Macaca mulatta: one gene and its partners. The protein of the gene in region 2 purifies or fractionates together with the protein of the main gene of each other region. This does not show direct contact. Links are inferred from orthologs where the notes say so. Each region holds a gene or a part of one and is shown on either strand. Other genes may lie near its edges. The genes, in order: WDR76, NUMA1 and EPB41L3.

What was found.
Region 1: the proteins of NUMA1 (region 2) and WDR76 purify together in Homo sapiens (affinity purification with mass spectrometry; 3 studies listed by BioGRID and IntAct, with this or other methods). This does not show direct contact. The link is inferred for Macaca mulatta from reciprocal best matches to the Homo sapiens genes NUMA1 and WDR76.
Region 3: the proteins of NUMA1 (region 2) and EPB41L3 purify together in Homo sapiens (affinity purification with mass spectrometry; 3 studies listed by BioGRID and IntAct, with this or other methods). This does not show direct contact. The link is inferred for Macaca mulatta from reciprocal best matches to the Homo sapiens genes NUMA1 and EPB41L3.

Annotation. Positions count from the first base shown.
Region 1 is NC_133412.1:21,209,404-21,213,741, reverse strand, and holds the start of WDR76 (WD repeat-containing protein 76), read right to left. Parts: upstream 2,849-4,338; 5' UTR 2,642-2,848; coding exon 2,582-2,641; exon of another isoform or gene 2,557-2,581; intron 1,688-2,556; coding exon 1,289-1,687; intron 1-1,288. UniProt on the Homo sapiens protein: Specifically binds 5-hydroxymethylcytosine (5hmC), suggesting that it acts as a specific reader of 5hmC.
Region 2 is NC_133419.1:72,311,693-72,315,930, forward strand, and holds part of NUMA1 (nuclear mitotic apparatus protein 1), read right to left. Parts: intron 3,992-4,238; coding exon 3,904-3,991; intron 2,340-3,903; coding exon 2,216-2,339; intron 1,704-2,215; coding exon 1,546-1,703; intron 1,247-1,545; coding exon 1,129-1,246; intron 1,030-1,128; coding exon 912-1,029; intron 557-911; coding exon 416-556; intron 1-415. UniProt on the Homo sapiens protein: Microtubule (MT)-binding protein that plays a role in the formation and maintenance of the spindle poles and the alignement and the segregation of chromosomes during mitotic cell division.
Region 3 is NC_133423.1:76,748,867-76,753,204, forward strand, and holds the start of EPB41L3 (band 4.1-like protein 3), read right to left. Parts: upstream 3,289-4,338; 5' UTR 3,002-3,288; intron 1-3,001. UniProt on the Homo sapiens protein: Tumor suppressor that inhibits cell proliferation and promotes apoptosis. Modulates the activity of protein arginine N-methyltransferases, including PRMT3 and PRMT5.

The DNA of each region.
Region 1 (4,338 bases), on a different chromosome or scaffold from region 2:
TACAAAAAATTAGCTGGGGGTGGTGGCAGGCGCCTGTAATCCCAGCTACTCAGGAGACTGAGGCAGGAGAATGGCGTGAACCCGGCAGGAGGAGCTTGTAGTAAGCCGAGATCGCGCCACTGCACTCCAGCCTGGGCAACAGAGCAAGACTCCGTCTCAAAAAAAAAAAAAAAAGAAGTGGCCATGCTAGGCTATCAACCCCAAGTCCAATTCATCTAATACTTATCCTATGCTGTCCCACTATGAGTCCTGGTTCTTAACTCTGGGGTAAGAAAGCATAAACCAAACTTCTATTTCATAACAATAACCCTTCAATTATAGTATCTCCCTTTCCCTACTATCATTTTCTGTTCCCTGAGTTCCAGCAACATTGTGTCATGTGCTTTATATTTTATCTTATCCTGTTAAAAGTTGTCAGTTTGAATGGAGCACAGCCCTCCCGGTAGGCAGTAGAAGCCAAAAGAATTACAGACCAGGCTGGGCGCAGTGGCTCACCACTGTAATCCCAGCACCTTGGGAGGCTGAGGCGGGTGGATCAGGAGGTCAGGAGTTAGAGACCAGCCTGACCAACATGGTGAAAACCCGTCTCTACTAAAAACACAAAACTAGCCAGGCATGGTGGGGCACCTGTAATCCCAGCTACTCAGGAGGCTGAGGGAGGAGAATCTATTGAATCCAGGAGGCCAAGGTTGCAGAGAGCCAATATAGTGTCACTGCACTCCGGCATGAGCAACAGAGCGACACTCGGTCTCCAAAAAAAAAAATTACACACCAAATTCCTTAAGTTGATTGGAATTATATAGAACTAATTAATGCATTTCTCATGTATCTTATCTACTCTGTCATTTGTCTCCTTTTGCATTTAAAGGAAATATTATTCAACACATCCATATAATCAGTTTCCCTACCCTGATATCAAGGGTCAGTCAATACCATATATCCCACAAACTGATGACTTCTGATATACTGTACATAAATATGTAAAGGTGAGCAAGGCACCATAAAGTATGAGTAAACCCAAAAATATATGAAGTTTAAAGAAAGAAAAAGGGAAGCAGAGTAAAGATTAAGTCAATCCTTTCATTGACACATCAACAGCAAAAGCAAAAATAACCCAAGGAAGTTATTTGTTAAACCTTAAAAATAATAATGTATTATTACATTTATTCTTACATTATTAGATAAAATAATTTGTTTGTACCAGAGAGAGCCTTGAAAAACTTCAATTTATCAGAACTTCACATTTAAAAAAAGAGATACTAGAACAAGCTACTAATTAAGTCCTTACCACGCCTGGTGTGATATCTTCATCACTGTCTCCATCCTGACTACTTTCCACATCAACACTGAGATTCATCGCATCTGCCGTTCTCTTGGATTGTAGCTTGTTACTTTCAGTATGAACAGCTGAGGCTGAATTTTGCAGCACGGATTCAGACTTAGATGTGGTTTTCTTCTTTGGAGGTATAATCCTTCTGCAAGTTTTCTTTATTTTAGTCTTCTTACACGCAACTTCATTGTTAGAATTCTTTTCTAATAGGGATTTGGGGCACATAAGCTGGTCTAGCTGGTAATTACTGAGTGAAAAGGGGGCTAGATAGACCTTAGCTGTTTTTATTAAAACTGTAGTCTGTACTGGTCTCAGAGACACATAAGCGATGTTTTGATTTTCTTTATATTCATTTACCTATTCAGATCAATAAAAGAAAAGAGAGTATTAGAATTCCAAGTCCTGTGCCTTTTCTTACAGGATCCCCAGCAGATCTAATAATTCCCATTTCACAATGACAATATAAATCCAAATTGATGCCAGGTGCGGTGGCTTACCCCTGTAATCCCAGCACTTTGGGAGGCTGAGGCAGGGCCTGAGGTCAGGAGTTCAAGATTAGCCTGGCCAACATGATGAAACCCGCCGCACCCCCCCACCCCCACTCCACCCCCCGCCCCCCGCCGTCTCTACTAAAAATACAAAAATTGGGTGTGGTGGTACCTGCCTGTAATTCTAGCTACTCAGGAGGCTGAGGCAGGAGAATCGCTTAAACCCGGGAGGCGGAGGTTGCAGTGAGCCAAGATCATGCCACTGCACTCCAGCCTGGGCAACAGAGCGAGACTCAAGCTCAAAAAAATAAATAAATCCAAATTGACACCCTGTAAGAAAACTTTTTTTCCCCTCCAAAATCTAGATATGTAATTCATTAACCTTAACCTCAACAGAATTCACTTACTAGGCACATGTGCCCATCAGAGTTTCCCAGACCAATAATAATGACTAGCATTTGGACTGAAGCAAATACCCCACTGTCAGCTGCGGATTGTCTGGAATTATTTAAAGAGTGTGAAGCTGATCATAACTGTGGCAAAAGCAAACGCAGAAGGTTGAAGAAAGGGAATCCCAGATGTGACTCTCCCACTATTTCTAGGGTTATTGATGAGAACCTTTCGTCAAAGCCGAAGGCCTCAGGGCAGGGATCGCCGCCAACCCCCGGTACCAGGCGCCCTCGACCTTCCGGGCCTGTGTCCCGCATAACCCTCACAAAAACCGAAGCAGGCGCACACCTGGAAGCACCGATCCGTTTCTCACCTTCATCTGGGGTCGCTGTCTGGAGTCCGCCTTCTCAGCCGCCGCGCCCGACCTGGACATCTTTCGGCTTCTCGGTGGCCGGCTCCTTCCCGCCAAGATTGCGGCGGGAGGCCGAGAGGGGCGGGGCCGGGACGGGGCGGAGCCCACTCAGATCCTCAGCGGCCGCAGCGCCAGAGCGGGAAGTCCGGGTTACCCGCGCTTCTTAAAGAAGGCCGCTTTGGCCGGGCGCGGTGGCTCACGCCTGTAATCCCAGCACTTTGGGAGGCTGAAGCGGGCGGATTACCTGAGGTCAGAAGTTTAAGACCAGCCTGGCCAACATGATGAAACCCCGTCTTTACTAAAAGTAAAAAATCAGCCGGGCGCGGTAGCACATGCCTGTAATCCCAGTTACTCAGGAGGCTGAGGCAGAATTGCTTGAACCCAGGAGGCAGAGGTTGCAGTGAGCCGAGATCGTGCCATTGCACTCCAGCCTGGGCAACAAGAGTGAGACTCCGTCTCAAAAAAAAAAAAAAAAAAAAAAAAATCGCTTATGTGTCTTTGAGACCAGTACAGACTACAGTTTTAATAAAAACAGCTAAGGCCTATCTTGCCCCCTTTTCACTCAGTAATTACCAGCTAGACCAGCTTATGTGCCCCAGATCCCTATTAGAAAAGAATTCTAACAATGAAGTTGCATGTAAGAAGACTAAAATAAAGAAAACTTGCAGAAGGACTCAAATTCTTTAGGGAAGTCCTGGGGCTGAACTGACATTTTTACCTCAGACTGCTGATTTTGATTCAGGTGGTACTGGGATCTCGCTCTGAAAAACATTGGCAGGCCGGGAGCGGTGACTAACACCTGTAATCCCAACACTTTGAGAGGCCGAGAGGAGTGGATCACTTGGGCCCAGGAGTTCCAAACCAGCCTGGGCAACATAGTGAGACCCCATCTCTACAAAAAATACAAAAATTAGCCTGGCGTGGTGTTATACGTCTGTAGTCCCCGCTACTCGGAAGGCAGGGGTGGGAAAATGGCTTGAACCTAGAAGGACGAGGCCAGTGAGCCGTGGTCGTGCAGCACTCCAGCCTGAGCGACAGGGCAAGACCCTGTCTCTTTTATAAATAAAAATAAAATAAGATTCTGGCTATTCTTCTCTTTAAGTTTCCTTCTACCCAAAACTGTTTCCTTAGTTTCTTAATTGGGTCCCACACTGTTCTTGCCTGAGACTTGTCCAGTTTCATTTCTTCTCCCACTCAAGGCCCAGTTGTAGAACACAGGTGAAGTAATTTGGGTTAATCACATTAACAGCAACTTCAAGGCCCTCCATGACTCAAAAATTACTGATAAAACCAAACTTTTCATGGTGTCCTGTATAATGTATACTGTTTCTGGACTTCAGAACTTTGTTCCTGCTGTCCCTTGTCTCCTCCGCAGTTATAAAGTCCTTTCTAATGTGAAATGTGCCCTGACTTTCCAATTAGCATATATACATATATATATATATATATATATTTTTTTTTTTAACACAACCCAGCTTGTAAATTGGCGCTGCTTCTGTTATTATCCTGTAAGTCCTTAAAGAGTTCTTAAATAGGCCGGCCGCCGTGGCTTACATCTGTAGTCCCAGCACTTTGGGGAGGCCAAGGTAGGTGGATCATCTGAGGTCAGGAGTTCAAGACCAGCCTGGGCAACATGGTGAAACCCCACCTCTACTAAAAATACAAAAATTAGCCGGGAGTGGTGGCACACGCCACCACTCAGCACTGTGGGAGGCCGG
Region 2 (4,238 bases):
TCACTGAGAGCTTACTTTACACTACGTAATGTGTGAAGTGCTTTACATACATTTTCTCATAATAGGTGGTAAGGCTGCTACTCGTTATTACTCCCATTTTAGGAAAAGAATGCTTAGAAAAACAGACTGATTAACTTGTCCAAGATCCACATCTTATAAACACCAGAGATAGGATTGAAAGGTATACTATAAAGTGAGGGCACTGACTGGGGGAAAAAATAAAAATAAATTAAAAAAAAAGAAAGGTGTACTAGACTGAAGCCCACAACCTTTCAACCTTTCAATTACAGCACACTATCAAACCTTGAAGAGAAAGCAGCTTAATACCCAAAGGCCGAGAAGAGCACAGTGGTAAACTGGATTCAGCTTTGCATATGTGGTCAAGACTGTGGCTGTGACCCCAGCAGAGGGTTACCTTATCCTGCAGGGCTGTGCTGAGCTCCTTCTCCAGCTGGGCCTGCTTCTCCAGCCACTCCTGAGTGGCCCTGCTGTGCTCCTCTGTCAGCTCATTGAGGGCATCCTGTAGCTGCTGCAGGTGACTGGCAAACTCCCGCAGCTGAGATGGGCAAGTGAGAATCCCCATCACCCAGGGTCAATGCTGACCCTACCACTGCTGTCTGCTCCCTGAACCCCAGGGGCTGGATGCCTCCAATTATCCTGCCAACCCTCCACAAACCAATCACAGCCATCACACCTCTAATTCAGGACCATAAATCAAACTTTAGGGTCACAACCCAGTACCCGGGAAGCAGCCAATTAGGGGACAAGGAAAGGGGCAAAATATGCAGGTCTCTGGAGAGACTGCAGCGTAAGACAGGTGCTGGGACATTCTTCTCAACCCTCTCTTGGGGAGCCTTCCAGATTGCCTCAGCCCTGAGGGGCCTCCATGCACACACCACCTTAACACCCACCTTAAAGGAAAGGTCTCCATTCTCCTCCAAAAGCTGGCTGATCTTGCGATCCATCTGGCTCTTCTCTGTCTTCAGGTCCTGGCACTGCTTCAGGGTTTCATGCAGCCGCATGGTAAGGCTGCGAGGGAGGGAAGCAGCGAGAAGAGAGTATGGATGGGCCCCTGGCTGGGTGCACGGAGGGGCGGGAGCCTGGGAAGGCATGCAGGGAGAGTTGTACCTCTCATTCTTGTCACGTAGCTCCTCAAGCTCCCTGGGCTCCAGTGGGCTGGCTGCCTGCTTCTCATTCAGCAGGGCTAGGCGGTCAATGCGCTGCTGCATCATGGCTATCTGTGCATCTGCCCAGAGTGGAGGGAGGAGGAGAGGAGAATCAGCACAGAACTATGTGCAGGAGGGGAAGGGAGGAGGTGGCATAGGGAGGAGGAGGCATACAGAGGAGGAGGAATATGGTATCCAATCTAAGGGAAAGAGAAGATGGGGACAAAGACAGAACCCAACTTCCAGGAGGTCAGCCTGACCACAGGCCCAGGGCTGAGCTCTAAGCTCCAGGGTCCAGCAGAGGGGACAACATGCGAGCCCAAAGGGACATCCTTCTGGCAAGTCTATTCACACATCTGCCAGCGTGCCAGCCACCTACCCTTCTCGGTGAGGAGCTTGCGGTTCTCAGCCAGCTCCAGCTCCAGCTCATCCCTATTACTTCTCTCATCGGCAAGCTGCTTCTTCAGCCGTCTCATCTGGAACTGTGGGGTCTGCAGGATATCGCCCATGGGAGAAGCTGGAGAACCTGAGAGAAAGCTGAGGAGGGAAAAGGCCCAGTTGCATTGGTAAGAGCCTAAGATCTGAAGCAATCAGCAACAGGCAGCAGGAAGGGAGTGGGGTCTGTGAAGTGTCCACTAGCAGCTGGGAGGCCTGTGCACCTGGGTTCTATTTGCAGTGCTACCTCAAGCCTCATGACATGATCTTGAGAAAATTTTTCTTCTCACTGCCTTAATTTCTTTGTCAGAAGAAAAAAAGTGATACATTATCCTTGGCTCTGCAGAGATGTACTAAGAGAAGGGACTTCATTGTAGTCTTTGAGGAAGAAGGGTATTCCATAAACAGGGAACAGCTTTTGAGGGAGACCTTCTGCGCATGACAAATCCCAACCAATTCCCCCCATTAATACTGGGGAGGTGAGGAGATCCCAGATCTACAGGATTCTCCAAGCACTCCTAGAGGCTGGTCAACAGCTTAACTCTAGAAGGTAGGAATGTGAGGAATAGATGGATGCTGAGGCCCTATCCCAGGAGGAAAGGCCCAGAACATACTTGTTCCCACTGGAAGAGGAGGCAACCTTCTGTAGCTCTAGGAAGCGAATCTCCCTCTTGGCCTGGTGGCTAGGTGGGGAGAGCTCTTCAGGGAATGTGCTAGAACAGGTAGAAGGGACAGGAGCTGGGGGTAAGAAATAGACAAAATAAATCAACAAAGATTAGTAAGAAGGTGAAAAGATTTGCATCTTTATGCAATCTGAGAACTTGGCCTTAGTGGGAGTGAATCTGTGGATACTTATATGTAAACTACCAAGGAAGGCACTGGGCAGAACCTGGTGTCTGGGTTATCCACAGTTCCGTGTCTCTAACCAAAATAAAGTGCAGGGCTTCCATTTCTACAGAGCATCACTACTCAGAGCACAGTGGAGTGAGGGTGTTCTCTGGCTCAGAAACTGCACCAAGTGCTCAGCTTTTTCCTCAAGTCCATACTGCAGAGACGGCTTGGGGAGCCCTGAGCAGGATCTCCTCGCAGCCCCCAACAACCTTTCCTATCAGAGCCACTGACTGCCATTTGGAATTCTTCCCCCCAAAGTCTTGTACCTCCAAAATGCCCTCCTCAAAACCCTTCTCTTTCCTTGGTTTCTGTGACCACTTTTGTAGGACTTTCCTACCTCTAATTACCCATTCTTAGTCTCCTCATCTGCTCCTCCCTCCTCTACCCACCCTCTAAGCTCCCAGAGATCTGATGGGGCCTCCTGGCTCTGCCCATAGTGCCCACGGATTCAGTGGCCATCCAATGCTGACTTGCAAACCTATCTTCTGGTCCAGAGCCAGCTCCTGAATTCTGGACTCACATTTCCAACATCTCCACCTGAAGGTCTCATGAGGAACCTGAATACAAGGAACATCAAACTCAATGGCTAGAACTCGCCTAGACCTCCTTCTTACATTCCTATCATCCACCAGCTGACCTCTTCCTCAGAAGACCAGCAGAACGATCACTCTTTCTACTGTAGCACCAGCCGAGACCATTGATATATTCCATACTTAGATTCCTTATCATATTTCCTGGTTTATGTATCTGCCTTTCCACCTAGAACATGTGCTACATGATGGGAAAAACATTTTTTAAAAGACTGTGGGCTGGGCGCAGTGGCTCATGCCTATAATCCTAACACTTTGGGAGGCTGAGGCAGGTAGATCACCTGATGTCAGGAGTTTGAGACCAGCCTAATCAACATGGTTTAACGCCATCTCTACAAAAAATACAAAAATTAGCCAGGTGTGGTGGCATGCACCTGTAATTCCAGCTACTTAGGAGGCTGAAGCAGGAGAACTGCTTGAACTTGGGAAGCGGAGGTTGCAGTGAGCTGAGATCACACCACTGCACTCCAGCCTGGGTGACAGAGAGAGACTCCATCTCAAAAAAAAAAAAAAAGACTGCACATTATCAGCTTCTAAGCCTAGAGTAATGATTGTTTAAAAAATAAAAAACAAAAGTAGGTATGATCACTTGTAAATATCCTACATCACTGCTGCCAGGCAGCAAGGAGGAGCTCCATAGGAACTGAGATGATACATGACCCAGAAATCGACCTACTCCATTACACACACTTTTCCTGACCACCAACTCTGCCTTGTGTTACAGACAGAAACAAACCCCCACCGCACTTCTTGACAACTCAGGATCCTAGTATTCCCCATTTCAGAGATGAGGGGATTCTCAGGAGTATGTACCTACTCACCTTTCCGTAGGAAGTTCTCTAGGTCCTCATTAAGGTTTAGCCCATCCTCATGGTCCAGCACAAATTTAAGAATGACAGCCAACTCAGCCTGGGCCACAGAGAGAAAAAGAACATCACTGAGGTGTTAGGCCTCTGAAAGGATGGCTGCCAGGAGCTCCACCCTGGCAGTGCCAGTCCCTGGCTCCCTCGTGCCCTAGAAGCCTGCTGGATCCCATTCTCCCTCTCAGAGCTGAGGTCCTATGACCCAGCCAACAACATTCAATTAGAGATATGTTCACCCCACTTGCTCCCTTCCCTCCCACCTCCCCTCAAGATGTACCCAAATCAGAGTTCCT
Region 3 (4,338 bases), on a different chromosome or scaffold from region 2:
TTCCTTACATTTAAATACAAAATTTCTCTAAAATGGAATCAAACACTTCTGAAAGTACTGAGATCCCAGTTTCTATAGGTATTCAACCAGAGGCTGTTAAAAAGGGACTTTAACCATACAACTCTACCACTCTATAACTTCTAAACTTCCAATATCTTAAGTGCCTTCTTATTTGAAGTGATTTCACCAATCCCAAAGAGTTTAAAAACATAACTCATGAGGACCAGTGTGCATGGTTTAGTTATATTTTTAAACTCTTTGGGATATATAATTAGTTTAATATTCTGATTTTAATAATGATTGACCTAAAAATTATTAAATGTCTTTTCAGGGCAATGTCTTTAATTATAGGCCCTGCTCTACACAAATGTTTGTTGAACACCTACTAAGTGCCAGACTCTGGGAATAAAAGAATGAGAAAGAACCCTGCCCTCAATAACTTACATTCCACTAAGAGCTGTATTTCCATTATTGGGATTGAGAGGTCATAGCCTAGTTGCAAACTTTCGGTTTTATACCTCTGCTCCTCAGTACTGAGAATGTTTTCCTACGGTTACCACACATTCTAAGAAGACTATTATCTAATGTTACAAGGGAGGCTCTTTGACCCCTTGGTGTCACAAGTCTGAACTGTAACTGATCCAACTGGGAACTGCCTAGGCAAGTAAGGGAAAGTGAAGACGGAGACTCCCAAGGTCATTTCAGAACCGACCTGAACTTCACTCTTTCCTCGTTCTAGATTATGTGTAATGATACGGGCACACTGGAGCCCACCCCACCCCCACTCCCCAAAGCAGCACAATTACAGCCTGGGAGGGGCAAGTCTTGCGGTGTCCCTCAGTAACTGCCATTATTTGAATGCGATATAGGAGCTCCCACATAGACCCTGCTCTACCGGGTTAGAATCTGTTTCTAATCACGTGGAATTTAGATTTAAACCATAGTTAGATTTGGGATTCACCACCGTTTCTACTTTCATTCATTTAGTGGCTTCCAGCCCTCTCCCGGCCCAGTCTTAGCACTTCAGAGGGAATTACACGGGAGTTACGGACTGGCAGGGGCGGGGGGTCCACCAGCTCCCTGTGAGAGAGCGCCAAGGGCCAGGGCAGCACCTCCCGGCTGGGTTGGGTCCGCCTCGCCTCGGGGATCCTTGGCGCTCAGCGCCGCCCTCCCGCGACTGCGCTACCCGCCGGAGCCCGGCGTCTTCCCTTTCCTTGTCTTGTGGACGCCGCCCTTCGCTCCCGGGAGGATTTCGCCTCCAGCACCTCAGGCTTTTCTGGCGCAAAGGTCGCCAGCCGGAGCGAGCCCAGGCGGCGGCTTCACTTCTGCAGAAGGAAAGCGAAAGCCGCGGCGGGCGGGCCGAGGGGGCGGCCGAACGCGCCGCGTGGCCGCTGTTCCCGAATCCGCAGCGGCGGCGCCAGGGCGGTCACCGAGCCCTGCGGACCCCGGCTCAACTTCCAGCGCCACTCGGGTGCCCCAAGCCCGCCGCAGCTCCCCGCGCGCTCTCCAGCCCCCCCACGCAGCCCCCGACGCGCCCGGGGCGCCCTCCCGCAGCACTGGCCAGGCCACCGCACCTCCCGCGCGGCGCTCCCCCGGCCAGCCAGGAGCTCCCCGGCTCCGAGCAGGACGCGTCAAAGGGAGTTCGGAGGTTCAGCAGCCCCCAGCGTCGGCTTCTCGGGTGACATGACGGCCTCTCTGGAGCGCGGGCCCGCCTCCGCCAAGCCTCCACCGCCGGTCCTTACAGCCCAGCCACCGGAAGATGCAGCGCCGGGCGAGGGGCGCTCCCAGGATTTTGAGAAACAGCCTCATTCGCCTCGGGAGCACCTCGATCCCCCACCCGCACCCTTTGGCCAGATGATTTTAATCCTGGGATGCCGCGTTGGTGGGGGGGGACTGGGAGCTGGAGCGGGAGGAGAGAAACCGGCAGCGCGGAGTTGCAGCTGCGCGCCGCTGGCGGCGAGGGGTGGCGGTCCCTGCGGCTCTGCCGGGCTGGGGGAACGGGCTCCTGCGCCTCTGCCTCCCGGAGGATCGCATTCGCTCATCCTTACAAACCGCACACACACACACTGCCGCTAGCGCCCCCACGCCACAAGCAGGAATGCGGAGGTCAAAGCCACTGTCCACTTGAAAGCAGGAAAGCAGGGGCAGAAACACTGAGATGGGGGCGGAGGCTCTGGCCTCATCGGCGAGGTTCGCACCTTCCCAGGCTTCCTAGTTTCCCCAGAGCTAACAAGATCTGGCTTCTGACACTCCGCTCTCTGGGCTAGCGGTTCGAGCTGCAGGGGCGGGCGGGGACGGATTCGGAAGGAGCACTAGAGAGAGAGCCCGCGCTCACTCCTGCCCTCCTCGCAAAGAACTGGCCAGCCCCACTCGCGTCCAGCCCACAACTAGGCGGCGGGGGCCGGGGACCCAGACCCCAGGTCGCTCCAACTCCTGCGAGGGCGGGGAGGGGAGTGACAGCAGCAACCACTGCGCGCGCTGGCAAAAAGCACGGAGTCTCCGAATAGGCTAAACGGCGGGCGCGGAGGGGTGGAGGCAAGACGGGGCGGAGGAGGAGTTGCCCGAGCGGAGAGGAATGACGTCCTCCAGGGCCTTGGGCTCCGAGGGACCGAAGACTGGTGCGCTCGCCGGGCCCCGCGCACTAGCTCTGGGGTTCGCAGAGGCGCCGCGCTCGGCTCCCACGGCGGCTCCAGCACAGAGCGCAGGCGGTAGATCCCGGCCAGCTTAAACCGGGCGCAAGCCCTCTGTCCGCCTCAAAGCACCTCTCTGCTCGTCCCTAGTCTCCAGGTGCCGGTCCGAGAGTCCCTGCCGCTTCCGGGCGGACCCGGCCCGGCAGCCCCCGGTCGGGCCAGCCTCGCCCCTTCCTTGCTTTCTCCCCCGTCGACCTCGAGCCAAGGGCAGGCGGCCCGCACCCGCGCCCCTACCCACGGGGCTAGGCGGCGCTCCCGGCCTACGCCCGACTGCCAAGAAGGATGGGGCACTGGAAGGGAAAGGCGCTCACCTGGGTCACCGAAGCCTTCCTTTGGGGCCCCTCCCGGAGCTTGTTGGCAGCCCGCGGGCACAACCTTCCTTGGAGGAAAAAAGTAGCGCAAGGGCAGAGTGAGGTAGGGCTGCTCACAGGTCCCTCCGCAGGGGCTCTTTCTTGCGAATTCTCCGAGGTCCAATCTCGGGCTCGGCGGCGGGAAAGAGCTCCTGGAGGCTGGAAGGAGCCGCCAGACCCGGGCTCCTCCCGCAGCTGCGGTGGCGGCACCTCCAAGTTGCCACCTGCAGCGCGCTTCGGGCGCCTGTGACAGCCCGCGCCGCTCAGCCCTCGCCGGCCCGCCCTCCCGGTCCTCTCGTTGGCTGCGCCCGGCGCCCGGGCGGTCCCGGCGCTCTGCCCCGCCCTGAGCCCGCCCTCGAGCCGCGCGCTCGCAAAGTGTGGGTCTCCTTACAGGCCTCCCTGGGCTTTATAGCCAGCGGTCTCTGCAAGCAGGGAAAGAATTACACACACACACACACACACACACACAATTTTGTGTAGCTAGGGACTGGAGGGAAAGGAGAGGCTATGATAAATGTCCTTTCGTGTGCCTTAAGGGGACCTGGTAACTTGGTTTCTTTTGCTGGTATTAAATTTTTGCAATCTCTGAAAAGAGTTAACTTCACAGCGGCGGTCTGGGGATGTAGGCCAGAAAGTGGCTTGGGGGCTGTTTCATTTAAGCATCATCCAACTTCACATGAAGCGCCAAAATATGAAGAGCAGTGTAGACCCAGCTTGCACCCTTTTCTCACCCAGCCTGCACCCCTGCAGCGGCGGATCCCGCAGTTCCAGCGCCTGCAAAGCCATCCCCACTGGTGCCCACGGGGTTTCCAGGCCTGAAGGCTCAGTATGTCACATGCGTGTTTGCTTGATTCTGTGGCCTGTGAGTCCAGGCCATGAGAATATATGCCCGTGCACACTAAAAACGAGACCTGTGCTTTCTACAACTCTTGGACCTTCTAAGTAAACAAAGGGAACATTATCTTTCTTTTCCTTCCACCTCTACCCCAAAGACCTGGACAAGAGTTCACTGCACAGTCTATCCCTGGGCACTCAGGCCAGTCTTCACTCACTCTGCCTCCTAGTAGCTCCTGGAGGCGTGCTTTCTGGAAAACGGATTTCGTAAAGCGTTCTGGAGGAGGAAAAGCTATAAAATATGACAATCACAAGTCTGGAAAGCCATCCAATCAACCAGAAACGTCTGACTCTTGGGTGTATCTATGTGAAAGAGGTACATTGCCAAGTGCCTATTAGTTTAATAACATTTTGAAATTAACTGCCCAAATAGCACATTTTATAGCCCATTAGGGAAATGTCTA